Linked DNA regions of Macaca mulatta. The protein of the gene in region 1 purifies or fractionates together with the protein of each later gene. This does not show direct contact. Links are inferred from orthologs where the notes say so. Each region holds a gene or a part of one and is shown in the gene's direction. Other genes may lie near its edges.

Region 1 (4,290 bases):
GTTATGGTAATATAAACTAGCAGCAGGAGCAGTCACTGGTTTTGTAATAAAAGTTATCTGAAAAAGTCAATCTGTTACCAGTGGAGGGTGTCCAGGTTCTTGGCGTTTTGGACAAAGAATTGGAAGAAACACATAAACAAAGCAAGGAAAGAATGAAACAACAAAATCAGAGATGTACTGAAAATGAAAGTACACTCCAGTGTGGGCGCAGGCCCAGCACAGGGCTCAAGGGCCCTGTTACAGAATTCCTGGAGGTTTAAATACCCTCTAGAGGATTCACTGGTTACTTGGTGTATACCCTATGTAAACGAAGAGAATGAATTAAAGTTACAAACTCATTTACTCGGCATACACCCTATGGAGAGGATATTTCTTGTTATAGCTAAAGTGTGAATCGGCCTTATGTTCCCTGCCTCCAGACCCTATTTTCCTGCCTCAAATCTCTAATACTTGATTTTGATGATTTAACTGTTGATCAATGCAAATATAAAAGACTTTTGTAAAGCATAGGCTATACTGTATGTTAATTCAAGGAATGTCAGGGCATGTACTAATGCTGAATTCTGAGAATCACGTGCTTTTGTACAGAACAAAGTCTGTTTCTTGAAATATTTTGAGTTAAATACTCCCTAAAACTCCTTAATAAAGGCAATTACAGAATCTGTTAATTGATATGTGGAATGGCAGTGAAAGAGGCTGTATTAGACGACTTGAAAACACTCATATTTGGAGCTTAATGAAAATATTCCTGCTCCCCAGAGATGAAATGTTAGTGAGAGTAGCAAATAATCTATTTTTATATGCCCGATTTGCATATTTGAGGCCATCTATTAACACCGTTCTTTAGGACCTCAACCTAGTCGTCTAAGACATCCTTATTAAACAAGGCCAATACGTACCATTTAACATTGAAAATAGTTAATGCCCTTCAAAATCTTTCAAAAGAATAAAAATTAAAAACTAAGTTCTTTGTAAAATTTTGCGGTTTAAAATAATTTTTAAAATTTTAAAAATTTTTTGGTTTCAAATTAGTGGGTGCCTCATTTATCATAAATTATAAAAGAGAATCTAACAATTATTGGCTACATTCTAGGCACGGGGTAACGCTTTATTGTTCTTCTAACCAAAAAAATATATGTATCTAAGTATCCTATGTAACGTATCATTCAATCACACAAAACCCTATGAAATACTGGCAGGGCCCGGTGGCTCACGCCTGTAATCCCAGCACTTTGAGAGGCAGAGGCAGGAGGATAATTTGAGCCCTCAGGAGTTCAAGACCAGCCTGGACAACAATAGTGAGACATCGTCACTTCACCATCATATCCAGAATTAATTTCTACTGTTAGGGCAGTCAGCGAAAGGAAAGCTCGCGATATTACACAAACTACTACTCCCAACATGCAAAGCGGTTTCTTTCCCTCTGTCCCCGCCCGGCCGTCCGAGAGCCCCAGCAGGCCTCGGGGCGCGAAAGGCAACCTGGAAGCGGTAGTTCTCCTGGGCGCCTAGCGGGATCGCCAGCGCGGCAGTGGGGCCTTCCGCGGCTCCAAGCCAGCGGGTCCTGTGAGGGCGAGCGGAGGCGGAGAAAGGGCGCGGGAGTGAGAGAGGGTGAGTCAGCCACTGTCTACGCAATAAAGGGAGGCCTCACCGCGGGCTAGGGCTGAATTCAGAAGTGCGGCCCGTGCCGCAGTCTGTTCCAGGACGCGGCTTGTCTTAGCGTCTGCGAGGGAAGGTTGAGGAGGAGCCAGAGCCGGGTCCGGCAGCCTTTCTCGCTATCAGCGCCCGTCGCCATCTCCACCATGCAGTCCCGGGAAGACGCCCCGCGCTCTCGCCGCCTCGCCAGCCCCCGCGGTGGGAGGCGGCCCAAGAGGATTTCCAAGCCCTCGGTTTCGGCCTTTTTCACGGGTCCAGAGGAATTAAAGGACACGGCCCATTCTGCAGCCCTGCTGGCACAGCTCAAGTCTTTCTACGACGCGCGGCTGCTGTGTGATGTGACCATCGAGGTGGTGACGCCTGGCAGCGGGCCTGGCACGGGTCGCCTCTTTTCCTGCAATCGCAACGTGCTAGCAGCTGCGTGTCCCTACTTCAAGAGCATGTTCACAGGTGGCATGTACGAGAGCCAGCAGGCCAGCGTGACCATGCACGATGTGGACGCCGAGTCCTTCGAGGTGTTGGTCGACTACTGCTACACGGGTCGTGTGTCTCTCAGCGAGGCCAATGTGCAGCGCCTGTACGCAGCCTCCGACATGCTGCAACTGGAGTATGTGCGGGAAGCCTGTGCCTCCTTCTTAGCCCGACGTCTTGACCTGACCAACTGCACCGCCATCCTCAAGTTTGCAGACGCCTTCGACCATCACAAGCTTCGATCTCAGGCCCAGTCCTATATAGCTCAGAACTTCAAGCAGCTCAGCCGAATGGGTTCAATTCGGGAAGAGACTCTAGCAGATCTGACCCTGGCCCAGCTGCTGGCTGTCCTGCGCTTGGATAGTCTGGACATAGAGAGTGAGCGGACTGTATGCCATGTAGCTGTGCAGTGGCTGGAGGCTGCTCCCAAGGAGCGGGGTCCCAGTGCTGCGGAAGTCTTCAAGTGCGTGCGCTGGATGCACTTCACTGAAGAAGATCAGGACTACTTAGAAGGGCTGCTGACCAAGCCCATTGTGAAGAAGTACTGCCTGGACGTTATTGAAGGGGCCCTGCAGATGCGCTATGGTGACCTGTTGTACAAGTCTCTGGTGCCAGTGCCAAACAGCAGCAGCAGCAGCAGTAGCAGCAGCAACTCTCTTGTATCTGCAGCAGAAAATCCACCCCAGAGACTGGGTATGTGTGCCAAGGAGATGGTGATCTTCTTTGGACACCCCAGAGATCCCTTTCTCTGCTATGACCCTTACTCAGGGGACATTTACACAATGCCATCACCTTTGACCAGCTTTGCTCACACTAAGACTGTTACCTCCTCAGCTGTCTGTGTCTCCCCAGACCATGACATCTATCTAGCTGCCCAGCCAAGGAAAGACCTCTGGGTGTATAAACCAGCTCAGAATAGTTGGCAGCAACTTGCAGATCGCTTGCTGTGTCGTGAGGGCATGGATGTGGCATATCTCAATGGCTACATCTACATTTTGGGGGGGCGAGACCCTATTACTGGAGTTAAGTTGAAGGAAGTGGAATGCTACAGTGTTCAGAGAAACCAGTGGGCATTGGTGGCTCCTGTCCCTCATTCCTTCTATTCCTTTGAACTCATAGTGGTTCAGAACTATCTTTATGCTGTCAACAGTAAGCGCATGCTCTGCTATGATCCTAGCCACAATATGTGGCTGAACTGTGCTTCTCTTAAACGCAGTGACTTTCAGGAAGCATGTGTTTTCAATGATGAAATCTATTGTATCTGTGACATCCCAGTCATGAAGGTCTACAACCCAGCTAGGGGAGAATGGAGGCGGATTAGTAATATTCCTTTGGATTCAGAGACCCACAACTACCAGATTGTCAATCATGACCGAAAGTTGCTTCTCATCACTTCTACAACCCCACAATGGAAAAAGAACCGAGTAACAGTGTATGAGTATGATACTAGGGAAGATCAGTGGATTAATATAGGTACTATGTTAGGCCTTTTGCAGTTTGACTCTGGCTTTATTTGCCTTTGTGCCCGTGTTTATCCTTCCTGCCTTGAACCTGGTCAGAGTTTTATTACTGAGGAAGATGATGCACGGAGTGAGTCTAGTACTGAATGGGACTTAGATGGATTCAGTGAGCTGGACTCTGAGTCAGGAAGTTCAAGTTCTTTTTCAGATGATGAAGTCTGGGTGCAAGTAGCACCTCAGCGAAATGCACAGGATCAGCAGGGTTCTTTGTAAATAGATTTTGAGACACTAAGATGTTTCTACTGCTACGGAATGTATTTTAAACACATATCCTTTCTTTTTCTTGAAAAAAAAAAAGTTGACCAGGACCACAGATTTGGTTTAGAAAGGGTAATATTTTGAAATACTACAAGGTTTAAACAGTCCACAAAATCGACCTGTTTAATAATATACCTTCCTGAAAGTCCAAAATTAAAATATGGAAGCAAGAACTATGTAATTGACTGGGATGCTTGGTAGGTTTTTTTCATTGTTCAAATATTCATTGCACAGTGGATTGTTTTGATTAGTTAGTATGCTTTTTTTTTTTTAATTAATTCAGTCTTCTGTTAATTTTTAAGTTTTGGTTAGTGCCACAAGGAATTTAACTTTTTAATCTGTACAATAGAAAACTGGACTAGGAATTGTTGGTGGAGTTTTGAAGGAT
Region 2 (4,166 bases), on another chromosome or scaffold:
GCTCTCGAACTTCTGGGCTCAGGCGATCTGCGCATCTCGACCTCCCAGAGTGCTAGGATTACAGGCATGAGCAACTGTACCTGGCAAAGTGTAGGATTTGAAACAAACTTTTATTCACTTTTGATCTCATTTAACTGTCATAACACTTACTAAGAACTCAACTGAGAACTTACTGTCATAGACCCTTAGGAAAGGACACACACATTTCCCAGTGCCTGTCCTGCACCAGCACGAGTGCTTTGTGGAGATTGCCTTGTTTCTTGCTGACATTGCCCTTCTGAGGTGTAGATGGTTTTATCGCCACTGTATAAAGAAGGGTATAGTATATCCAGTGCCCCACAGCTAAGTGACAGGACAAGGATCTCACTCCAGATCTTGTGACTTTAAAAATCACTTCGTTGGCTCTGCTTCGCCTTGTTTCCTAGATGGTGGCCATCTCATGGTCCAGATTTATATACATCTCAGCCTCAAATCAGATGGCACATTTTCCATTTGCAAGCTATTTGACTCAACCCATTGGCATATAACATACACCATGGTAGCAAGAATTGGCCAGAGGCTCCCCAAGACCAGGCTTCTGAAATCCCAACCCCAGCTCCCAAGCCCCAAGCATCCCATAAAATCTTTGCTAGATGTTCAGAAACCTAAAATTTGCTTCTCCACCCCTCCCTTCTCCCCAGGTGGTAAAGACAAAGAAACAGACGGCAGGGTTCTTTGTTATTCTTTTATCTGCTAAGTTTCCAAAAAGGTTAGATAGTGGAACTTTGCTGAGCAAGCCTTCTGTCCCTGAGTTGTCTCTGAGCAGCACCAAATGATCGAGTCTTATCTCCCCCTTGTTATCTCCAAGGATATAAAATGTTTTCTTTTCATGCCTTTTAATTTCTATGTAACATTAGCCATTCAGTTGACCTGAAACATTGCTAGTTTATTTCTGGCTGGCTTGTGTGTGTGTGTGTGTATCAGAGGGTCTATACTGTATACATAAATACTTCTCTAACTATTCTTTTCCATAGTGTTGCTCTAAAATGTCTCATTTACTTAATACTGTCAACTTAGATGGTGAATCATTTTATGTGCCTAAAAGAAATACCTACTCGGATGCTCTAGTTCCCTGGCAAGGGAGAGAGAGGGAGAAGAAAAAAGCTGTGAAAGTGGTGCAAATCCGAACTGCTTTCTTTTTTGCTCATAAGTAGTGCTTTTCAAAGCGTTTGGCATCCCTGCCGTATGGATGTGTCACTGTGTGAGATGACAACAGGATTTGCTGGAAATGTGGGCCACTATTGTATCCGCCTTACGTAACCACGTGGAGTGATGGAAATGGGTGAGCAGCCCGGGATGTAGGCGGTGGCCTGGCCCATGCATCTCCAGAGACCATGAAGACTGCTCAAGCCCTGCGTAGGATGTGGATCCAGGCTGTTAAAAAGTTGGGGAGATGGAAAGGCCGTGTGAGTCCCTCTGCAAGCTCTCCCCTTGTTTTCCCCAACCTTTCTTCATGGGAAGGGGAGGGAAGCAAAACCATTCTCTCAGTAACTCCTTTATCCTCAGATGTGTTTGTGCTTCTGGCATCTTTCAGCAACAAATTGTGAGATTGTAGGTTGTAGTTAGTCACTGGTGGTTTTTTAAAAAAATACTTGTATTGATTTTAGCACATCTGTGTGAAACTTATAGCCTCTTACTGGATCTGTGGATCAAAGGCTGCTGTTGTCCATGTGCTCGGAATCTGTAATGGTTTTGCTTCCTGGGTAGAGCTTAACATACTGGCTTTTGTGTTTGTTCATGTATGAGAATTTCTTGTTTTGGCATAAAACTTTTTGCTTTCTTATGTTGCAGAAATCTATATTCTTACTATGTCTAGGCTTCTAACTTAGAAGAAGAAAAAGTGTTTTTCACATGTTCTTTTTTTCCTTGTGGTTTGAACATGTGTGAGTGTTTACTTTTATGACTTGAGACTTACGAAGCGTGTCTCTTATGTGGACAGCTTTCAATTAATCTTTGGTTTTAGCTTTGACCTCCATCACTGGGCAGCAGCAGTCCGTGGATATAGAATCTAAAAGCTGCCTGCTCAGGGGGACTTTGGGCAGTGAACACTTCGGTATCTGTTTTAGGGTTGGCTTTTAACACGTTTCTACATTTTTTATGTAAAATATATAGGATTTTAACCTGTCTGGCCAAGATTTTTCGAAGGAAAAAAGCTTTATAAAAAGTAGATTAAAAAAAGCACAACAAATAACTATTTGCCTTAGTTCCTTTCTCTTATTTTGTCACACAAAAACCTTACTGTTAATGCATTAAGTTTTTTGTTTATGGTAGAAGAGTTAGCTTACTTTTAACTTTCCATGAGGTCTAAGAAGCCTGTTACGATATAAAGGGGGTTGTCATGAACACTACTTACATGAAAAGTAAAAGTGATAAGGAAAGATGATGAAAGCACATTGAAGATCCTCCTGATGGATAGAATGTTGACACTTGGATTAAGAAGGCGATTTAGCGTTTTCTGCGTGCACCTCCCCCCACAGCTCCCCAGACCTAACACCTGTGTCCCCACCCTGCCCACCGCACCTGCCTTGCTTCACCCCCCTTGCCCCTTTCAAATTACTGGTACCATCCCTCAACTCGCTCTCCTTCCAGTTGAAATTATTGTACCCTCTTCACTTTGCAAAATTCTAACTGCATTGAAAAATTTGCTGTTAAGTATACCTGTGCCTCTTGGATACCTAGATCCTTCACCAGGAGTGAGTATTCACTTTGATGTTCACCCACTCATCTCCCTATTTTTTATTTATTTATTTATTTTATTTATTTATTTTTTGAGACGGAGTCTAGCTCTGTTGCCCAGGCTGGAGTGCAGTGGTGCGATCTCGGCTCACTGCAAGCTCCGCCTCCCGGGTTCACGCCATTCTCCTGCCTCAGCCTCCCGAGTAGCTGGGACTACAGGTGCCCACCACTACGCCCAGCTAATTTTTTGTATTTTTAGTAGAGATGGGGTTTCACTGTGTTAGCCAGGACGGTCCCGGTCTCCTGACCTTGTGATCCACCTATCTCGGCCTCCCAAAGTGCTGGGATTACAGGCATGAGCCACTGCGCCTGGCCTGGCCTCATCTCCCTATTCTTTTAAACTTATGAAATGTTTGGTACTCTAAAAGAATTAAATATCTAAATCATGAAGCATAATAAACAAATGCCATGAGCCCATTACACATATCTGCAGACCGTTACCAAAACAAAACACAAGGGAAATTTGTGTACCTCCCACCACACTCTGCCTCCTGGCCAGGTCACCTCATCCTGAATGTTATGTTTTTCATTTCCTTGCTTTTTCTTTATATTTTCACTGCATGGGTGCGTACGCGCGCACACACATACACATACACACAAACACACACCCCTAAATAATAGATTAATTTTGTTGGCAATTTTTTTCTGTAGCGAAAATGCATAACAAAATTTACTGTCTTTACCATTTGTAAATGTACAGTTCAGTAGTGTAAAGTTATTCAAGTTGTTGTAAAACATTGTTTTTTGAGCTGTATAAAAATGGTATCATACTCTACAAATCCTTCTGGGGTGTTTTTCACTCAACTTTATGTTTGAGATGCATCCCTTTTGTGGTGGTCTGTGTGACTGGTTTGTCTGTCTTCATTGCAATATAACATTGTATTTTAATAATGTATCAATTTGTCCATCCTGCCCTTGAGAGATACTGGGATATTTTCCAGGTTTTGGCCGTTGGGAACATTGCTGCTGTGAATATACATGTGTCCTTGTGCATATAGTCACACAGTTTTCTGGGGGCCTCTGCCTGGGTAGAGGAATGACTGGGTCGTGGAATGTGCATGCCTTTAATTCTGATGTATGTGTGCTGTCTCTATGGGCCTGCCTGTAAAGCTCCCCCTCGTGCTAAGCAGCTACCTGCTGTCATTCAGAGAAACGTCAGTTATTGCTAGCAAGTCTGATCTGCGCATAGCCAAGCACAAGTTGGGCGGGACCAGAGCCCGGTGGCCTAGTTTGAATGCCATGACCACAGCTCCCAGCTAAGCTGCTGCACCCTGGCAGCCCAGGGATGTTCCCAGAGCTGATGTTCTGAGGAATAAGGATGATTATGTGGGGTGCTCTATGTTTCTGAAAAATTATATAAATGAGGCAGGAAAGACACTCAGTAGTTTGCT
Region 3 (3,429 bases), on another chromosome or scaffold:
AATCCCAGCACTTTGGGAGGCCAAGTCACATTGGGAGGCCAGATCACAAGGTCAGGAGTTCAAGACCAGCCTGACCAACATGGTGAAACCCCAACTCTACTAAAAATACAAAAAAATGTAGCCCGGCGTGGTGGCGGCCGCCTGTAATCCCAGCTCTACTCGGGAGACTGAGGCAGGAGAATTACTTGAGGCGGAGGTTGCAGTAAGCCGAGATCACGCTGCTGTAGTTGAGCCTGGGCAACAGAGCAAGACTCTATCTCAGAAAAAAAAAAAAAGGCTGGGCACGGTGGCTTCCACCTGTAATCCCAGCACTTTGGGAGGCCGAGGTGGGCAGATCATGAGGTCAGGAGATCAAGACCATCCTGGCTAACGTGGTGTAACCCCATCCCTACTAAAAATACAAAAATTTAGCCGGGCGTGGTAGCGGGTGCCTGTAATCCCAGCTACTTGGGAAGCTGAGGCAGGAGAATGATGTGAACCTGGGAGGTGGAGCTTGCAGTGAGCCGAGATCATACCACTGCACTCCAGCCTGGGTGACAGAGCAAGACTCTGTCTCAAAAAAAAAAAAAATTCCAGACAGGGAAGTCGGTGACCTCGGCATCCCCCCAGGCTGTGTCTGTGCATCTGAGAGCCAAGGGTTTGCCAGGACACCGGGAGGCATGCGGGGAGGGGAGGGCCCAGCACCTACAGCACCTCACAGGAGAACTGGTTTGGCCATGGGCGTGAACGACCACCCCGCACCCCCAGGTGTTCACGCTGCCCAAGGTGAGTGCCAAGCTGAAGCTGAAGCTGACGGCCCTGGAGGGCTCAAGGGTGAGGCGGGTCAGCGTGGCCCACTTCGGCAGTCGTCGAGCTGAGGACTATGGGGAGCACCACCTGGCAGTCCTCACCAATCTGGGTGACATCCAGGTGGTGTCGCTGCCACTGCTCAAGCCCCAGGTGCGCTACAGCTGCATCCGCCGGGAGGACGTCAGTGGCATCGCCTCCTGCGTCTTCACCAAATATGGCCAAGGTGTTCGAGCTGGGCTGGGCGGGTGTGGGGGCCCCAGGCACTGCAGGGACGGGAAGGGTGGCCAGGGGTGTTGTGGCCATGGCCAGACTGGATGGGCCTTAAGCGGAGAACTGCGAGGGAACGCTAGCCCCTGCTCCCCCAGGTTGGGAAGCAGCCTTGGCAGCCACCAGGCCAGGCCACTAGCATTGCCCCCACTCCCCAGGCTTCTACCTGATCTCACCCTCGGAGTTCGAGCGCTTCTCTCTCTCCACCAAGTGGCTGGTGGAGCCCCGGTGTCTGGTGGATTCAGCAGAAACCAAGAACCACCGCCCTGGTAACGGGGCAGGCCCCAAGAAGGTGCCGAGCCGAGCCAGGTGAGTGAAAGGGCCAGAGGCCTCTCCTGCCCCTCCCTGCCCTCTCTGAGATACCCTGAGGCTCCCACTGCTGCCTGGCCAGAGACACCTCCCCACAAGCTCAGCCCACCCTCCCAGGCTCTGGCTCTCTATACCTCTTCGCGTGCCCCTTGCCCCTGTGCAAGCTGGCAGTCCAGGGCAGGACTCAGTTTACCTCCCAGGCTCTCCTGCTCAGGGCAGGCTGCACCATTGACTTTGTTCTTCATGGGACCAGGGCTCTCAGAGCTGGGCAGGGAGCCCAGAGGCCCTGGTCCTCACTGTCTCTCTCCCCACAGGAACTCAGGGACTCAGAGTGATGGCGAGGGTAAGACAGGCCTCCTGGGCCCATGCACACCTGGGCCACACCCAGCCCAGACCTGGGGCTGGACGGGAGGGACGGGGTCCTGAGTGAGCAGGTAGTGTTTGGGCTGGGAGTAGAGACGGCATTCCTTCCAGCCCTGGGCTTCCACATCCCGACCTCAGTAAGGAGAGAGCCAGGCCGAGGAGGGCCCAGGCGGGGCTCCCTGACCCGGCCTCTACCTTCCAGAGAAGCAGCCCGGCTTGGTGATGGAGCGCGCTCTGCTCAGTGATGAGAGTGAGTTGGGTGGGAGAGCGTGGGGCTGGCAGGAGGGGTGGGGAAGGGGGGATCAGGGTCAAGGGAGGGTGGGCAGGCCGTTACCCTGAGGCAGGGGACAGATCCATCCGGCACCCATGGTGAAAGGGGGTGGAAAGGCTGTGGCTGGCCGCCCCAAGGGCCTCAGTGGGCCTCTGTTCCCACCCGGCCTGCAGGAGTCCTGAAGGAAATCCAGAGCACACTGGAGGGAGACCGCGGGTGAGGCACCACCCAGGCTGGCTGGGGTGGGCCCGGGGCTCTGCCAGGGGGCTCGGGAGCGCTGGGAGTGGAGGCCCCCTGAGGTCATGACTCCCCTGTCTTTGCCCATGCAGGAGCCTCAACTGGCATTCACATCGAGCGGCCATGGGGCGCAGCCTCAGCAATGGCGGAGGTGGGGGCTCTGGGCTTGAGTGCAGTTGCCAGATGTGCTGGGAAGGGATGGGAGGAAGAGCCCTGGTCCCACTCCCCTGGATTCCACAGGGCCGTACACGTGCCCTGATGACCTGGAAAGCACCATGTCTGGGCTCAGTGTGGGCGGCTGGGGCACCCCGTCCTGCCCAGGGCGATCCTGAGCTGTCCCTCTGTGTCCTTCAGCAGAGTGAGTGGCTGAGCGGCCAGGCTGCACGATGAGCACACACTACTACTGATGGCCTTTTGGAGGTCCCTGCCCCAGCCGGAGAGGCCGGTGCACAGGGCCACACCAGGGGATAGGGGCGCCCCGGCTTCCACAATGCAGCTGCTCCAGGCCTCGGGAGAGGAGAGGCCCCGGCCCCTGGGGCTGCCCTTCCCGGGTCTCGTCTGTCTGGGTCCTTTGGTCAATGTTGCACAGTTTTTATTGCCCCCATCCCTTTTTGTAGTGGGCTGGGGTTTAAGTTATACATGGTAACTGCCTCTGGGTGAAAAAGTTTTTAATAAACACCTATTACCTCTTCACTGGACTGGTCCACCTACTTTAATATTTCAATTGTGTAGAAATTTTCCATGTGAATACAAAGTGGGAGCCGGTACCCTGCCTGTCCCCCGAGGCTCTAGCCCTGGCCTGGGCTGGCATCAGGAGAATCCACTTTGGGAGTCGTGTGAATCAAACTGCGTAGTTGTGTCTGAGCCCGGCTGTGCCTTCCCTCTCTGGGAACACATAGCAAGCACGAACCATCTTGAGTCTGCCTTACTTGTTTCCCTGGGTCCTGGCCACCCCTGGCTGGCCTTTCCCTACTGTCAGGAGGAGAAGGGCACCCCAGTATCTCAGACCTGTTGGCTTCCTCCAGACACCAGGGAGGACTGTGGGGTGCTGCTGAAGGGGAGGTGGTCCCCAAGGAGAAAGGCCTCCCCCAGGGGAGAGGCTGGGTTATTTAGATTGGACATGGGTTGGATCTTTATTGACTCGTCTTCGTTGAGCACCTACTGTATGGCCAGTGCGTGGGGTTCTCTGGTGT
Region 4 (3,500 bases), on another chromosome or scaffold:
GCCTCCCAAAGTGCTGGGATTACAGGTGTGAGCCACTGCACCCAGCCGAGAACCCATACTCTTAACCAGCCATGGCCTCTTGTATTCTCCTGACCTGCTGTTAAGGGGCATGTGGAGGACATCTAAAAACGTTAAATATCTATGTTCCTCTTTCATTATTTGTTCCACAATGATGCTAAGAAGAAAAATAGAATAGCCCTGACTGTTTAAAGAGCAGCAGTTAGTAAGATGGCTGAGCAAATGAGACAGAGCAAGCCCTCCTGGAGCCTCCCTGCAGCTCCTCTTTCCTGTCTTTCATTCCGTGGCGATTGCCCGGATGGATTCTGGCCACACATTAGCTCATCTCACCCTCCTACAGCCAGTTCCATTTTCATACCACCGTAAAGCAGAAGCAGTTATAGGCAGGGAGAACCAAAGGTCAGGATGGCCACCTGAGGCTGCTTTCCGAGAGCAAGGATGGTTATGGCGGTCACTGCCTTCCTAGCTCTGCACATCCACCGGTGGTCAGGGACAGACACAGTTGACCCCTGCTATGCAGCTCAGGCTGCACTCTGCTCCCTTGATATTGTGCCGTAGGATGTCGTCCCTGGCACTCCGGTCATGCTGGAGTGAAGCTGCAGCTACCTTCATGTGATTCTGTTTTGTTGGTCTTTCTGCTCACCTTTAAGCCCTGGCTCAAAACTGTCCTTCAGGAAGTCTTGATAGCCTCTATTTTTGAAGCCGTCATTGATACCACATCCCCTTTGCCTTTGGTGTTCTGTGATTACTAAGTTAATCTACTGTCTCTCTTTTTGTGGATGTTTGGGATGTGCCCATACAAGGGTCTTCAGCTCATGGAACCTTGGAAGCCTTGCCTTCTGCAGCAGGGTGGGCACTTGGTCCTCAGGGATGCTGAGGCAGGACCATATTCATGTGTACTTAAAATCCTAGGGAGATGTTATCAAGTCTGAGATGCTGTCAGCTGTGAGATGCACCATTGTTTTGTGTCACTAAGAATGGAAGAACAGCCGGGCACGGTGGCTCATGCCTCTAATCCCAGCACTTTGGGAGGCTGAGGCAGGTGGATCATGATGAGATTAGGAGTTTGAGACCAGCCCGGCCAATATGGTGAAACCCCATCTCTACTAAAAATACAAAAATTAGCCAGGCGTGGTGGCACATGCCTGTAGCCCCAGCTACTCGGGAGGCTGAGGCAGAAAAATCATTTGAACCTGGGAGGCAGAGGTTGCAGTGAGCCAAGATCGTGCCACTGCACTCCAGCCTGGGCAGCAGAGTGAGACTCTGTCTCAGAATAGTAATAATGATAATAATACTCTCTGAGATAACCCTGTCAGTAAAATCTGTTGCCAGAAACTTACCTTGTTAAAGTAACTTCTTGATTATATGGAGAAACAAAAGTAAAATGAAAGCACGTAATACAGTAGTAGTAAAAGCAAAGCACCTGTGTACTATTAGGAATTCACTCACTAGCCATTTCTGAACTTTCAGTCCTTCAGCTGTGGAAGAGGATGAAGATGAAGATGGTCATACTGTGGTGGCCACAGCGCGAGGCATATTTAACAGCAATGGTGGCGTGCTGAGTTCCATAGAAACTGGAGTCAGTATAATTATCCCTCAAGGAGCCATTCCCGAAGGAGTTGAGCAGGAAATCTATTTCAAGGTCTGCCGAGACAACAGCATCCTCCCACCTTTAGATAAAGAGAAAGGTAAATGTGTTTATTTTTCTCCTTAGTTTTGATAACTTAAGAGTTGCCCTGTGTGCACTTCAAAGCTTATAGTGCTTGGCTAAGGGGGTAATGCAGCACCTCTCTCTGCCTCCACCCTGGGCCACTAATAATAGCATGTTCCTTTCATCAGGGAGGTCCTTTCAGATGAGTGCTGTAGCGAGGGGTGCCCTGGGGATGGTGTTGCAAGCAGGCAGGAGGTGGCCTGAGGCAAGGCTGTGGTGGCCACACCGCCTGCTTTTACTTTTGGTATGAAGTAAAAAAATGATGGCATAGGACAGGCCACGGGGTGTCTCTCACTTGTGCCTGCTGAGCAGCCTGGGCTGACCTGACCAAGTTTGTCTTTGAGTCCGTCAGCCTTTGGGTCTCTGGAGATGGGTTAGGTAACACCCACTCAGAAAGGCTTTGCTGTGTCTTCACCTGATTGGAGAACCTAAACGTCTTGACAGGTACTGTCTTACCATCACCCCAGAACCCAGCACTAGTACATGCTCGGCAGAGTGCACGGAGTCTCAGAGGAGACGACAGTATGTTTCTGAGCTTCTTAAGGAAACTGTTATTTTCATAATCCTCCTGGATCTATCAGGATATTGTAACGAACTGTGTCGTGATTTAGCATCTTTTAGCAGTGCTTTTACTTTCCTAAATCAGTTAACACTTTCTTACGTTTTGCCAGAATACTGATATCTGATTCTGTACTCTGATTTTGGGGATATCCTGTTTTAAAAACCAGTAGGACTGACTGTGTTGGCCCTGCATGAATCCTTTAAGCATCTATGGAGCAAATTTTAAAAATGGAAAATATGTCACATTTGTAACAAGTACATTTGAATATGTTTTATACTATAGACCCATATGATTGAATGCAGTAGCCACTACCTGCACGTGGCTACCTCGCACTTGAAGTGTGACAATTTTGGATTGAAAGATGCTGGAAATGTGAAATAAACATCAAGTTCCAAAGATACCATATATTGGTTACATGTTGAAATAACAGTGTTTTGGTTATATTGAGTTATAATACTATACTATTTGTTATCACCTGTTTCTTTTTACTTTCTAACGTGGCTACTGGGAAATTTAAAATTCCATATGTGTCTGCTGTTACATTTTTTTTGTGGTCAGTGCGATTGTAGAGAACTAACTGCATTAGGCTTTCAAGCATATAATTAGAAGCAGGGTGAGGAAAACTGGGGGTCTAGAAGAAAGACCACATCCAACCTCTCTGCCTATCCCCTTTTCCAACTCCAGGTGAAACACTGCTGAGTCCCTTGGTGATGTGTGGTCCCCATGGCCTCAAGTTCCTGAAGCCTGTGGAGCTGCGCTTACCACACTGTGCGTCCATGACTCCTGACGGTTGGTCTTTTGCTCTAAAATCATCCGACTCCTCGTCGGGTATGCTGTCTTCACTCTGTCCTTTGGGGCTTTGGGGACTGTCGTTGATTAATACCTGGGCTGGTGATGCTACCCATGCTGTGTGTTAGCAAATCTCTCCCTCTGTTCCTGTGGCCTTGTAGGCATCACCGGTATTTCCACATTTATTTATGGTGCATATATTGTAAATAAATTCCATGGAAAGATAGAAGAGTTGCTTCCTTTTAAAAATTGATCATTTGGGCCAGGCGTGGTGGCTCACGCCTGTAGTCCCAGCACTTTGGGAGGCCAAGGCGGGTGGATCACCTAAGGTCAGGAGTTCGAGACCAGCCTGGCCAACATGGTGAAACCCCATCTATACTAAAAATACAAAAATTAGATGTGTTGGCACATGCCTGTAGT
Region 5 (4,138 bases), on another chromosome or scaffold:
CTCGAATTCCTGACCTCAGGTGACCCACCCACCTTGGCCTCACTTTAGGCGTGAGCCACTATGCCAGGCCATAATTTTTGTATTTGTAGTAGAGACAGGGTTTCACCAGGCTGGTCTCAAACTCCTGACCTCAAATGATCTGCCTGCCTCAGCCTCCCAAAATGTGTTGAGATTACAGGCGTGAGCCACTGCGCCTGGCCTGGCCTGATACTTAGAATTAAAAAAAAAAAAAAAGCCATAAAAAATCAATGCTTTGGGTTAATGATCACAATATATTGTTATGTGAAGAAAAATTAATGGTCAGGTGGCATCTTATTTTATATCTGCATAGAAAAAACACTGGACAGGAATACAAGATGGTAGTAGTAATCACTCATTGGTGGAATTACTGTTGAGGTTTACTCTCCTTTCTGAGATCTTCAAGATTTTGCAAAGATTCTCCATTAAGTGCCCCACGTTTTGTTTTGTTTTCTGGCCATTGGAATTGACGTAATTAATACAAACTACAGGCCGGGTGCGGTGGCTCACGCCTGTAACCCCAGTGCTTTGGGAGGCTGAAGCGGTCAGATCATGAGGTCAGGAGTTTGAGACCAGCCTGACCAACATGGTGAAACCCCGTCTTTACTAAAAATACAAAAATTAGCCGGGCGTGATGGCAGGTGCCTCTAATCCCAGCTATGCGGGAGGCTGAGGCCGGAGAATTGCTTGAACCCGAGAGGCGGAGGTTGCAGTGAGCCGAGATCACGCCACTGCACTGCAGCCTGGGCGACAGAGCAAGACTCAGTCTCCGAAGAAAAAAAAAGAAGAAAAGAAAAGAGAAAAGAAGAGGGAGGAAAGGAAGGAAGGAAGGAGGGAAGGAAGGAGAAAAAGAAAGAAGAAAGAGAAGGAAGGAAGGAAGGAAGGAAGGAGGGAAGGAAGGAGAGAAAGAAGAAAGAGAAGGAAGGAAAGAGAAAGAAAGAAGGAAGGAAGGAAAGAAATAGAGAGAGAGAAAGGAAAAGAAAAGAACTACAATAGGTGTTCAGCGTGTACTCCGTTAAAAAAAAAAAAATAGAATAAAAACTACAAGTTCCAGCAGACATCTCGCCTACGACTTCTGTAGATCGTCTTTCCCCGAACGCAATGATCGCTGGGATTCGTAGTCCAGTGACAAAATCAAGGAGGGACGCGCACTACCGGCCTAGATGACAGAGGAGGGAATCACTACCATTCCGACCAATGGACAGTTCACGCCGAAACTGAGTGGCGAGCGCATAGCCAATGGGTAAGCCATTCAGCCTGAGTGACATGGGTTGCAACCTACAGGAGGCCCGTGGGGCGGTACGGCGCGCGGCGCCCGTAGTGCGAACCATGGGAGGCGGCTGGTGGTGGGCTCGGGCCGCTCGCCTCGCCCGTCTCCGCTTCCGGAGGTCGCTACTGCCGCCTCAGCGGCCCCGGAGCGGGGGCGCCCGGGGGTCCTTCGCCCCCGGCCACGGTCCCCGCGCCGGGGCTTCGCCGCCCCCAGTGTCCGAGCTGGACCGTGCGGACGCCTGGCTCCTCCGAAAGGCGCACGAGACAGGTCGGTGGCTGGAGGTGGGGGCGGCGTGGATGGGACGGGGGTCCCGGGCGCGCGTGGAACCTCGATGGGGCGGAGGCTTCTGCAGGAAACGGGGCCCGGGCTCGGCTCCGAGAAGGGCTTCAGTGTGAGCGCACGGAAGCGCAGAGTGCAAGAGCGCAGGTGCCCGCAGAGAGGATGGGCTTTCGGGGAGGACGAGGACCCCGCGTAACGGGGCGCCGTAGGGATTGGAGGGGGTGGTAGGGTTGCGCGAGGCAGCCTCGTAGAATCGCGCCTGTCGTGTGAAGAGGGGCTTCCAGGGAAAGCTTAGAGTCTGTGGAGTTGGGTACTAGAGGGGTCCGTCCCGATTACAGAGGCCACCACTGTGCAGAGAGCGGGAGTGTGGATCCCCGCAGACGAGGGGGAAGTTCAGGATTGGAGGAGGGGACAACCAATAGGGAAAAAGCTCTCTGCTGATTGGAGGGGGAGGTGATCTAGGCTGCAGGGGGCGGGGCTTGTGACGGAGGCGAGGTCCAGAATGTAGCGGAGTGGCCATCTATTTTTTTTTTTAATTTAATTTAATTTAATTTAATTTAATTAATTTATTTTTTTGAGACGGAGTCTCGCTCTGTCATCGGGGCTGGAGTGCAGTGGCCGGATCTCAGCTCACTGCAAGCTCCGCCTCCCGGGTTTACGCCATTCTCCTGCCTCAGCCTCTCAAGTAGCTGTGACTACAGGCGCCCGCCACCTCGCCCGGCTAGTTTTTTGTATTTTTTAGTAGAGACGGGGTTTCACCGTGTTAGCCAGGATGGTCTCGATCTCCTAACCTCGTGATCCGCCCGTCTCGGCCTCCCAAAGTGCTGGGATTACAGGCTTGAGCCACCGCGCCCGGCCAATTTTATTTTTTTAATGACAATGTTTTGCTCTGTCACCCAGGCTTGAGTGCAGTGGCACAATTTTAGCCCACTGCAGCCTTCAACTCCTGGACTCAAGTCATCCTCTTGCCTCAGCCTCCTGCTTAGCTGGCGCTACAGGCATACACCACCGTGCCCAACTATTTTAATTTATGCAGAGACGGGGTCTCGCTTTGTTGCCCAGGCTGGTCTGAACTCTTGGGCTCATACAATCTTGCCTTGGCTTCCCAAAGTGCTGGGATTACAGGCGTGAGCCACCTCACTGGGCCAGTACTGGGTATCTAGATATAGGGTGTGGTGGGCTGTTTGTAAGGGACTTGAATGGGGACGGACGTGGATGGGATTGGCGCAGGCCATACTCGGTAGGAGATGGCGGCATTTGAAGGAAAGGAAGGGCGAGGCTGAAGTGCGGCCTGGGTTAGGAAAGTTTGCCCCAGAGTTCTGAGAAAGAAGTAAGTAGGCAGGCCGTGGGGATATACATAGAGGGAGGGGGTTGGTCAGGATGGCTCTTCAGATTGGAGGTTCTGCAATTTTGCCCCTGGATTGTCCTCCACATTCTGCAGGGACTATCTTGAATCCTTTATTTATTTTTTTGAGACGGAGTCTCGCTCTGTCACCCAGGCTGGAGTGCTGTGGCAAGATCTTGGCTCACTACAAACTCCACCTCCTGGATTCAAGTGATTCTCCTCCCTCAGCTTCCCGAATAGCTGGGACTACAGGCACGTGCCACCACACCCTGCTAATTTTAGTATTTTTAGTAGAGACGGGGTTTGACTATGTTGGCCAGGCTAGTCTCAAACTCCTGACCTCGTGATCTACCTGCCTTGGCCTCCCAAAGTGCTGGAACTACAGGCGTGAGCCACCGCACCCAGCCCTTGAATCCTTAGTGTTACAGAGTTTGGGGGAGAGGGGCACTGAGGTGGAGGCCAGAGAGCATGTGGGGGGATGTGGTTAGGTGAGGGACTTCCAGGAAGAGGTGAGGATTTGGGGTGGGCTTGCCTTGTGGCTGCATGGGGTGGAGTGAGCTGAAGGGGGAGCCCCTTCAGTTTTACAGGGCAAGGGAGATTGAGGAGGTAGGGTTGGGGGTGATGTTAATCCCCCCATGTCTCCCTCCCTCCAGCCTTTCTCTCCTGGTTCCGAAATGGCCTCCTGGCATCGGGCATCGGAGTCATCTCCTTCATGCAGAGTGACATGGGTCGCGAAGCAGCATATGGTGAGTACAGATCCCCACTCTCACCTCCACCAGGGAACCAGGGAATCCAGAGCCCCTACCACCTGTCCTGGTGAGGGTAGACTTTCCCATCCCATCCCACTCCCAGTAGTAAGCACAGAACCCCCATTCTTCCCCCACCAGGAAGACACCCCTCCCATGGGCCCATCTGAATGGGTGGCCCAGGACATGGCTATGGTCCCCTCCCCTCCGATCTGATTCTCAAAGATGCAGTCCAGCCCCTGGCACGGCCCTGCCTCTGTTCCTGTCTCCTCAACCCTGGCTTTGCTCCCAGACCATTCCCCACACCCCCGATACCTTTTCGTCCCCCGACCTTGGCCCTGTCGCTACCCTGCCTCTCCCGCAGGCTTCTTCCTGCTGGGCGGCCTGTGCGTGGTGTGGGGCAGTGCCTCGTACGCGGTGGGCCTGGCGGCGCTGCGAGGGCCCATGCAGCTGACGCTGGGGGGCGCGGCCGTGGGCGTG
Region 6 (4,275 bases), on another chromosome or scaffold:
AGACAAGGTCTTGCTCTGTTACACAGGCTGGAGTGCAGTGGTGCAATCACGGCTCACTGCAGCCTCAACCTCGTGGACTCAAGTGATCCTCCCACCTCAGGCTCCTGAGTAGCTGGGACTACAGGTGCAGGCCACTGCTCCCGGCTAGTTTTTGTTTTTTGTAGAGACAGGGTTTTCCTATGTTGCTCAGGTTGGTCTTGAACTCCTGAGCCCGGTGATCCTCCTACCTCAGCCTCTCAGAGTGCTGGGATTACAGGCGTGGGCCACTTGCACCCTGCCAAAGAAACCAATTCTTTAGTTCTACACAGATTGGAACCTTCCTTTTCTTTGATATAATCCTTTTGTCAAAAGATAGTTGGCCGGGCACGGTGGCTCAAGCCTGTAATCCCAGCACTTTGGGAGGCCGAGATGGGCGGATCACGAGGTCAGGAGATCGAGACCATCCTGGCTAACACAGTGAAACCCCGTCTCTACTAAAAAAAAAAAAAAAAAGATAGTTTTACAGAAACAGTTTAGCACCCAACTCCGTGCCTGGCGCAGAGCAGATATGTAAATGTGTACCCATGCAAGAATCAAATCCTTTATGTCAGTCCAGAATGAAGTGGATAAAACAAGAAATGCTTATAAATTAAGGCTTTGGTGGCAGGATTTAGGCAGCTGAGAAAGCACACCTTTTTATTCTTCACAAACATCACCTTTTGAAAGATGCCTACGCTCTTATCCTCAAACATGTCGAGAGAGAAAATTTAAGAATGAATACACTTTGGGCTGTAACTTTACTGTATTTCATCCTAACAGGGACCCAGACCTCTAAGTTGGGAAGGCTCTTGCTTATAAAGGGAAATGTCCCATAATTCCTGTCATTTTACTTGGGTCTTTTAAAAACGGCAAATTCTCATCTTCCACTGGCTGAGAGTAAAAAAGAAATAAAAGCGGTAAAGACTTCTTTTTGTGCGTAGGTGGCCCCGCTGTTCATGGTGAATACAGATTTTTACACAATGAAACCTTAAATATCTCTATCTGGAACGGAATCCGTTTTTCCTGCCTCGGGAAGGATTTCTGCGCTCTCGGGTGAAGTTCCTGAAGCAAGGAACCAGTTCCCCTCTCCCTGTATCTACCCGTCCTCTTGAGAGGAATTCTCAGGTCACCTGAAACACGAGTGTGGGCCAGGACGACCCATTCGTTCACCCAGCCCAGAGCTCTGCGAAGCGGGACACGGGCAGTGCAACGGGAACGACCGGACGCCGACGCCCCCGAGGACTGAGGCCGCGGCAGAGGCGGCGGGGCGGTGACGGGCGCGACTCCGGCCTCCCAGCTTTGCGGAGGGGCGGCCCCGGGACACCCGAGCCCCGCGGGGTCGTGAGGGCTCAGCACAGCTACGGGCCGGAACCATGATCCACCAGCACCGCGCTGGCGCTGGGAACTGCGGTGGTGACGGACCGAGGGCCGGAAGTGAAGGACCGGGGAGGACGGCTGCTTCCGGCGCCGTAGCTGTCGCCATCTCCTCCGCGCCATGGCTGCGTTGGGCCGTCAGGTGAGGTCGCGCTGGGCGCGGGGGCTTCTCCAGGTGGCAGATGGGGGGGCAGCGACGCAGAGGAACCGCGGCCGCCGGGTGTTTCACGGCCAGGTCGTGGAGCCCTTCTGGAGGTCCGTGCACGGTGACCTGGTTTTGGCATCCTGGACCCGTGGCTCTGCTCAATTTTTGTGGGGTATAGAGTTGACTTTTTTTTTTTTTTTTTTTTTTTGAGACAGAGTATCGCTCTGTCGCCAGGCTTGAGTGCAGTGGCGCGATCTCGGCTCACCGCAGCCTCCGCTTCCTGGGTTCAAGCGATTCTGCTTCAGCCGAGTAGCTGGGATTACCAGCGCCCGCCGCCATGCCCGGCTAATTTTTGTATTTTTAGTAGAGACGGCGTTTCACCGTGTTGGCCAGGCTGGTCTCTAACGCCTGGCCTCAGGTGATCCACCCGCCTCGAACTCCCAAAGTGCTGGGATTGCAGGCGTGAGCCGCCGCGCCCGGCCTGAGTTGACTCTTGAACAAGAGTTTGAACTTCACAAGGAAGGTAACATGTATTTACTATTCATTAAGAGGAAGCGGAATCCGCATAAAGGTCTTTAGGCTCAAGCCCAGTTTCCCGGGCTGCGCCCGCTGAGCCCAGCGACTGCCCGGTGTTCCTGGCGGAGGGAGCATCTGGACAGGGGAGGCTGGAGAGCAGCCATGGGCTTGGCAGGCTGGCCCCGGGGCGACAGTCGACGCTGGAGAAGGGGTTGGGACCGATGTGAAGGGTTTAGAGCAGGGGTTCCCCAATCCTCGGTACCGGTCCCTGGCCTGTTAGGAACCAGGCTGCACAGCAGGAGGTGAGCGGCGAGTGAGCCAGCCAAACTTGGTGTGCATTTACAGCCACTCCCCTCGCTGGCATTGCAGCCTGAGCTCCGCCTCCCGTCGGACCAGCCGCCTTAGACTCTCACTGCAGCGCGAACCCTATTGTGGACTGCGCCTTTGAGGGATCTAGGTTGCCTGCTCCTTATGAGAATCTAATGCCTGATGATCTGTCACTGTTTCCCATCACCCCCAGATGGGACCTTCTGGTTGTAGGAAAACAAGTTCAGGGCTCCCAGTGATTCTACATTATGGTGAGTTGTATAATTATTTCATCTTCTATTACAACGTGAAAATAATAGAAATAAAGTGTACAACAACTGTAATGTGCTTGAATCATCCGGAAACCCCTCAGCAGTCTGTGGAAAAACTGTCTTCCTTGAAGGCAGTCCCTGGTGCCAGAAAGGTTGAAGACTGCTGGCTTAGAGTGCCTGGATGATTTGTGCATAGTTTGTTAAGCACCATCCTGAACAGCTGAAGACTTTTGAGTCAACTGGAATTGTGTATGCAAGTTGACTAACTACTGTGACCCTTGAACAACACAGGAGTTAGGGGCACCAGACCGCCCCGACACCAGTTGAAAATCAGTGTATAATGTTTGACTTCTCTAAAACTCAACTACTAATAGCCTACTCATGACTGGAAGTCTTACCGGCAACATAAACAGTCCGTTAACACATATCGTGTTTATCTACTGCACTCTGTGTTCTTAACATAAGCTAGAGAAAAGAAAACGTTATTAAGAAAACCATAAGGGCAAAACCCCGTCTCTACAAAAAATACAAAAATTAGCAGGGTGTAGTGTGCGCCTGTAGTCCCAGCTACTCAGAAGGCTGGGGTGGGAGGATCACCTCAGCCTGGGGAGGTCAAGGCTGCAGTGAGCCATGATTGCACCACTACACTCCAGCCTAGGCAACAGAGTGAGACCCCATCTCAAAAAACAAACAAAAATCCTAAGAGAAAATGTATTTACTATTCATTAAGAGGAAGCAGATCCTCATAAGGTCTTTAGGCTGACGTGGAGGTAGAGGAGAGTTTGGTCTTGGTGTCTCAAGGGTGGCAGAGGTGGAAGAAAATCCACATATAAGTGGATCCGAGCAGTTCAAACCCTTGTTGTTCAAGGGCCAACTCTATCCCACAAGATTCTTCTCGTGGAATGAATTTAAGAACATGAATCTGGAAAGCAGTCTGAGGTCCAGTCTTTTCTGGCACACATGACCAGGTGACCTGGTTTTTCCCTCTTCCTCCATGTCTCTGCTTCCGTCCTTAAAGCTACAAAAGCCAACAATATTGTACCTGCTTGACTCCCATCTCTGTGACCTTGAAGTACCCTGTTCTCTCTATGTGAGCTTCCTTCTCTGTAGCTTAAGTTCAGATATGATTTTGCAGATTGCTTTAAAAACTGTATGTTTGTGTGGAACCAAGGCAGTAAGTACTCTGGCTCAAAGGTCTTGTGGTGTCCATTACACTGGGATAGTGAGGAATTAATTGTCTTTTGGTCCTGTGTCTTACAGGTCCTTGATTGGCACCGCCTGATCCCCCTCACCTGGGCCTGGATGGCTAGGCAGACTCCTCATCTTGGAGAACAGAGAAGGATGACAGCTTCCTTGTTGCGCAAACTGACCACAGCCTCCAATGGAGGGGTCACTGAGGAGTTATCTTGTGTTAGATCCAATAACTATGTGCAGGAACCAGAGTGCAGGAGGAATCGTGTTCAGTGCCGCCTCGAGAAGCAGAGGACTCCTGTGGAACAAGGGTCCTTGGAGCTAGAGAGGGTCATCAGTTCCCTCCTGGACATGGGTTTCAGCAATGCCCATATTAATGAATTGCTCAGTATACGACCAGGTGCCAGTCTTCAACAGTTGCTGGACATCATTTCAGAATTTATTCTCTTGGGT
Region 7 (3,500 bases), on another chromosome or scaffold:
GCTCCTGGCCAACCCGGGGCAGGGAGGCAAGGGCAAGCATGCGCTGACACCCTCCTCTCTTGTCCAGAGGCCCCAGTGCAGTTCCTTGCTCCAGAGACAACCCCAAGTCCGCTGTGTGTGGCCCCGGGGGAGCCAGTGGTGCTGAGCTGTGAACTGTCCCGGGCTGGCGCCCCCGTGGTCTGGAGCCACAATGGGAGGCCTGTGCAGGAGGGCGAGGGCTTAGAGCTCCATGCCGAGGGCCCCCGCCGAGTCCTCTGCATCCAGGCTGCAAGCCTAGCCCATGCAGGGCTCTACACCTGCCAGTCGGGAGCAGCCCCAGGAGCCCCGAGCCTCAGCTTCACTGTCCAGGTGGCTGGTGAGTACAGCCTCGGCACTAAGCCTGAGAGTGGCACCCCAAACCCTGTAGGATTCCTGCTTTTCCAGCATGTCCTGCCCATCCCTGGCCCCGCTTCTCTTAGTACCCTCCCCATCATGCCTCCCCCTGCCCTCCTCAAAGCCCTGAGCCTCTCCCCCCCAGTGACCTCCAGCTCTGACTCCACAGAGCCCCCTGTGCGGGTGGTAGCTCCCGAGGCAGCCCAGACGAGGGTTCGGAGCACCCCAGGCGGGGACCTAGAGCTGGTGGTGCACCTCTCCGGGCCAGGGGGCCCTGTGCGCTGGTACAAGGACGGGGAGCGACTGGCAAGCCAGGGACGGGTGCAGCTGGAGCAGGCCGGGGCCAGGCAGGTGCTGCGGGTGCAGGGGGCACGAAGTGGGGACGCTGGGGAGTACCTGTGTGACGCGCCCCAGGACAGCCGCATCTTTCTTGTCAGCGTGGAAGGTAACAGCGTACCCCTCAAACCCTGTGGGCTCTGGCACCCCAAGGACCACCTGGTACACTTTAGGGCCCCCTTACCCCTCCATCCCCGCTTTGCTGCCTCTGGCTCCAACCAGGGTGTGCATGACCATCACTTGGATAGGGGCTCAGGGCTCCCCTTTCCAGAAACCCTCATGTGAGAGGGTTAAAAGCATAGACTGGGCCGGGCGCGGTGGCTCAAGCCTGTAATCCCAGCACTTTGGGAGGCCGAGACGGGCGGATCACAAGGTCAGGAGATCGAGACCATCCTGGCTAACACGGTGAAACCCCGTCTCTACTAAAAAATACAAAAAACTAGCCGGGCGAGGTGGTGGGCGCCTATAGTCCCAGCTACTCGGGAGGCTGAGGCAGGAGAATGGCGTGAACCCGGGAGGCAGAGCTTACAGTGAGCTGAGATCCGGCCACTGCACTCCAGCCTGGGCGACAGAGCGAGACTCCCTCTCAAAAAAAAAAAAAAAAAAAAAAAAAAAAAAGCATAGACTGGTGGTTAAAAGCAGAGGCTCTGGCGTCCACCCACCCAGGTTCCAGCCTGGATTTTGTGCCCCAGTAGCTGTGTGACATTGGCAAAGTTGTTCAACCTGTGTGAGCCCCAGTTCTGAAAAGAGGGGATAGTGCTTGTCTTATAGACCTGTTGTGACAAGTAAATGCTGTAAATAGGGTCCCTGGTAAATGATATTATTAGTGCATCACCAAGGTGGGGTGCTAGGCTAGGATTGCGAGGAACTGACTAAAAGAATTGGCAGGGAGCTGGCATCTTGTCCTTTGGGCCACCCGTGTGGTCGATACATAGTAGGTCCTCACGGAAGGTTTGTTAAATGACTGGGGATGAGGGCCTGTACCCTGAGGAGGGGATGAAAAGGAGAGAGGAGAAAAGACCCAGCCCAGCTCACTGCCTGACCGTGCCCCTCAGAGCCACTGCCGGTGAAGCTGGTCTCAGAGCTGACACCACTCACTGTCCACGAGGGCGATGATGCCACGTTCCGGTGTAAAGTCTCCCCACCAGATGCCGATGTCACCTGGCTGCGCAATGGGGCCGTCGTCACTCCAGGGCCCCAGGTGGAGATGGCCCAGAATGGTTCAAGCCGCATCTTAACCTTGCGAGGCTGCCAACTGGGTGATGCAGGGACCGTGACTGTGCGGGCAGGGAGCACGACCACAAGTGCCCGGCTCCATGTTCGAGGTTAGGTCCTGGTGAGGATGAGGTGCTCTGTGTCCTGTGCCTGTACTCCCAACTCAGACCCCAGCAGCCTTGCCCATCTACCTAGGGACAGACCAGTGGGATGGAGCAAGGGGCCAGCTTCCAACCCCACCAGGCTCCATGGCCTCCTCCTTCTTCCCCACCAGAGACAGAGCTGCTGTTCCTACGGCGGTTGCAGGACGTGCGGGCAGAGGAAGGCCAGGACGTGTGTCTCGAAGTGGAGACAGGCCGAGTGGGTGCAGCGGGGGCTGTGCGCTGGGTACGAGGTGGGCAGCCCCTGCCCCACGACTCTCGCCTGTCCATGGCCCAGGATGGGCACATCCACCGCCTCTACATCCATGGTGTCATACTAGCTGACCAGGGCACCTACGGCTGTGAGAGTCACCACGATCGCACACTGGCCAGGCTCAGCGTGAGGCGTGAGTGCCCTGTCCTCTCTTAATGCATTACCCACCCCACAGCACAGCCTTTTCTGGCTGTCCTGGAGTCCCTCAGGCCCCCACCAAAGTGCCCCTCACCGCTGAGAAAAGTCAACCGTGGCCGTCCCAGCAGCAGCCTGCCCAAAGCAAAACTTTTCTTTTTCTAATATTTTTTATTTACCTTAGAAGTCCATGTGGATTTTGCATTCCATTGCATATTTCAAGTTGGCTTTGCTATAAACACAAATATTCTCCAGAAAGACCTGCCGTGGGCATCCTTCAGTCATGTATTCTAGGGATACACATACCCACTTAAGTAGCAGGGATGACTGGCAAACAGCACCCCACACGTCCTACCCAAAGCTGGAGCCCTCTGTTTCCTGTGTGACCTCATGCAAGTTAACCTCTCTGAGCCAAGTCTCCTTAAAAATGGGGCTGAGACCAGGTGCAGTGGCTGATGCCTGTAATCCTAACACTTTGGGAGACCAAGGCAGGAGGATCCCTTGAGGCCAGTAGTTTGAGGCCATCCTGGGCAACATAGCAAGAACCCGTCTCTACAAAAAAAATAAAAATTAGCCAGGCATGGTAGTTACTAGGGAGGCTGAGGTGGAATGATTGCTTGAACTCAGGAGTTTGAGGCTGTAGTGAGCTATGATCATGCCATGGCATTCCAGCCTGGATGACAGCAAGACCCTGTCTCAAATTTTTAAAATGGGGTTGATCCCCGTCTCAAGTGTCTCTGGGAACATTAACTGAGATGAAAATTCTTACACAGAGATTGGTGAATGGTTGTCATTGGTGACACATCTGTTCTAACTTATTTCATTCAAGAAATCATCACAATAAACCTGTGTCCCAGTGTTATTCACCTTGTACAGCTGGGGCAACTGGGGCCCAGAGAGGTCAGGCCATTTGCCAAAGATCACACAGCACACTAACTATGTGGTAGAGCGAGGTTCCATTCTAGTGTGTCTGACGCCAAATTCCATGCTCCTTCAAGTGTCACAGTACCCCTCACCCAGACTCCATG

What was found.
Region 2: the proteins of KBTBD7 (region 1) and TJP2 purify together in Homo sapiens (co-immunoprecipitation; 4 studies listed by BioGRID and IntAct, with this or other methods). This does not show direct contact. The link is inferred for Macaca mulatta from reciprocal best matches to the Homo sapiens genes KBTBD7 and TJP2.
Region 3: the proteins of KBTBD7 (region 1) and LLGL2 purify together in Homo sapiens (co-immunoprecipitation; 4 studies listed by BioGRID and IntAct, counting the BioPlex papers as one, with this or other methods). This does not show direct contact. The link is inferred for Macaca mulatta from reciprocal best matches to the Homo sapiens genes KBTBD7 and LLGL2.
Region 4: the proteins of KBTBD7 (region 1) and TJP1 purify together in Homo sapiens (co-immunoprecipitation; 3 studies listed by BioGRID and IntAct, counting the BioPlex papers as one, with this or other methods). This does not show direct contact. The link is inferred for Macaca mulatta from reciprocal best matches to the Homo sapiens genes KBTBD7 and TJP1.
Region 5: the proteins of KBTBD7 (region 1) and TMEM160 purify together in Homo sapiens (co-immunoprecipitation; 3 studies listed by BioGRID and IntAct, counting the BioPlex papers as one, with this or other methods). This does not show direct contact. The link is inferred for Macaca mulatta from reciprocal best matches to the Homo sapiens genes KBTBD7 and TMEM160.
Region 6: the proteins of KBTBD7 (region 1) and MTERF4 purify together in Homo sapiens (co-immunoprecipitation; 3 studies listed by BioGRID and IntAct, counting the BioPlex papers as one, with this or other methods). This does not show direct contact. The link is inferred for Macaca mulatta from reciprocal best matches to the Homo sapiens genes KBTBD7 and MTERF4.
Region 7: the proteins of KBTBD7 (region 1) and OBSL1 purify together in Homo sapiens (affinity purification with mass spectrometry; 3 studies listed by BioGRID and IntAct, with this or other methods). This does not show direct contact. The link is inferred for Macaca mulatta from reciprocal best matches to the Homo sapiens genes KBTBD7 and OBSL1.

What each region holds. Positions count from the first base shown.
Region 1 is NC_133422.1:20,614,150-20,618,439, reverse strand, and holds the start of KBTBD7 (kelch repeat and BTB domain-containing protein 7), read left to right. Parts: upstream 1-1,490; 5' UTR 1,491-1,799; coding exon 1,800-3,857; 3' UTR 3,858-4,290. UniProt on the Homo sapiens protein: As part of the CUL3(KBTBD6/7) E3 ubiquitin ligase complex functions as a substrate adapter for the RAC1 guanine exchange factor (GEF) TIAM1, mediating its 'Lys-48' ubiquitination and proteasomal degradation.
Region 2 is NC_133420.1:100,258,634-100,262,799, forward strand, and holds the start of TJP2 (tight junction protein 2), read left to right. Parts: upstream 1-1,366; 5' UTR 1,367-1,373; coding exon 1,374-1,445; intron 1,446-4,166. UniProt on the Homo sapiens protein: Plays a role in tight junctions and adherens junctions. Acts as a positive regulator of RANKL-induced osteoclast differentiation, potentially via mediating downstream transcriptional activity.
Region 3 is NC_133421.1:85,273,742-85,277,170, forward strand, and holds the end of LLGL2 (LLGL scribble cell polarity complex component 2), read left to right. Parts: intron 1-747; coding exon 748-1,012; intron 1,013-1,214; coding exon 1,215-1,365; exon of another isoform or gene 1,366-1,384; intron 1,385-1,679; coding exon 1,680-1,708; intron 1,709-1,839; exon of another isoform or gene 1,840-1,930; coding exon 1,931-1,978; intron 1,979-2,172; coding exon 2,173-2,215; intron 2,216-2,328; coding exon 2,329-2,387; intron 2,388-2,590; coding exon 2,591-2,598; coding exon of another isoform or gene 2,599-2,626; 3' UTR 2,627-2,929; downstream 2,930-3,429. UniProt on the Homo sapiens protein: Part of a complex with GPSM2/LGN, PRKCI/aPKC and PARD6B/Par-6, which may ensure the correct organization and orientation of bipolar spindles for normal cell division.
Region 4 is NC_133412.1:8,711,510-8,715,009, forward strand, and holds part of TJP1 (tight junction protein 1), read left to right. Parts: intron 1-1,488; coding exon 1,489-1,706; intron 1,707-2,975; coding exon 2,976-3,119; intron 3,120-3,500. UniProt on the Homo sapiens protein: TJP1, TJP2, and TJP3 are closely related scaffolding proteins that link tight junction (TJ) transmembrane proteins such as claudins, junctional adhesion molecules, and occludin to the actin cytoskeleton.
Region 5 is NC_133424.1:59,525,747-59,529,884, reverse strand, and holds the start of TMEM160 (transmembrane protein 160 precursor), read left to right. Parts: upstream 1-1,338; 5' UTR 1,339-1,347; coding exon 1,348-1,555; intron 1,556-3,565; coding exon 3,566-3,658; intron 3,659-4,022; coding exon 4,023-4,138.
Region 6 is NC_133417.1:146,364,363-146,368,637, reverse strand, and holds the start of MTERF4 (transcription termination factor 4, mitochondrial), read left to right. Parts: upstream 1-1,475; 5' UTR 1,476-1,513; coding exon 1,514-1,534; intron 1,535-2,573; exon of another isoform or gene 2,574-2,628; coding exon of another isoform or gene 2,629-2,631; intron 2,632-3,891; coding exon 3,892-4,275. UniProt on the Homo sapiens protein: Regulator of mitochondrial ribosome biogenesis and translation. Binds to mitochondrial ribosomal RNAs 16S, 12S and 7S and targets NSUN4 RNA methyltransferase to the mitochondrial large ribosomal subunit (39S).
Region 7 is NC_133417.1:124,796,764-124,800,263, reverse strand, and holds part of OBSL1 (obscurin-like protein 1), read left to right. Parts: intron 1-67; coding exon 68-355; intron 356-541; coding exon 542-817; intron 818-1,763; coding exon 1,764-2,033; intron 2,034-2,197; coding exon 2,198-2,470; intron 2,471-3,500. UniProt on the Homo sapiens protein: Core component of the 3M complex, a complex required to regulate microtubule dynamics and genome integrity. It is unclear how the 3M complex regulates microtubules, it could act by controlling the level of a microtubule stabilizer.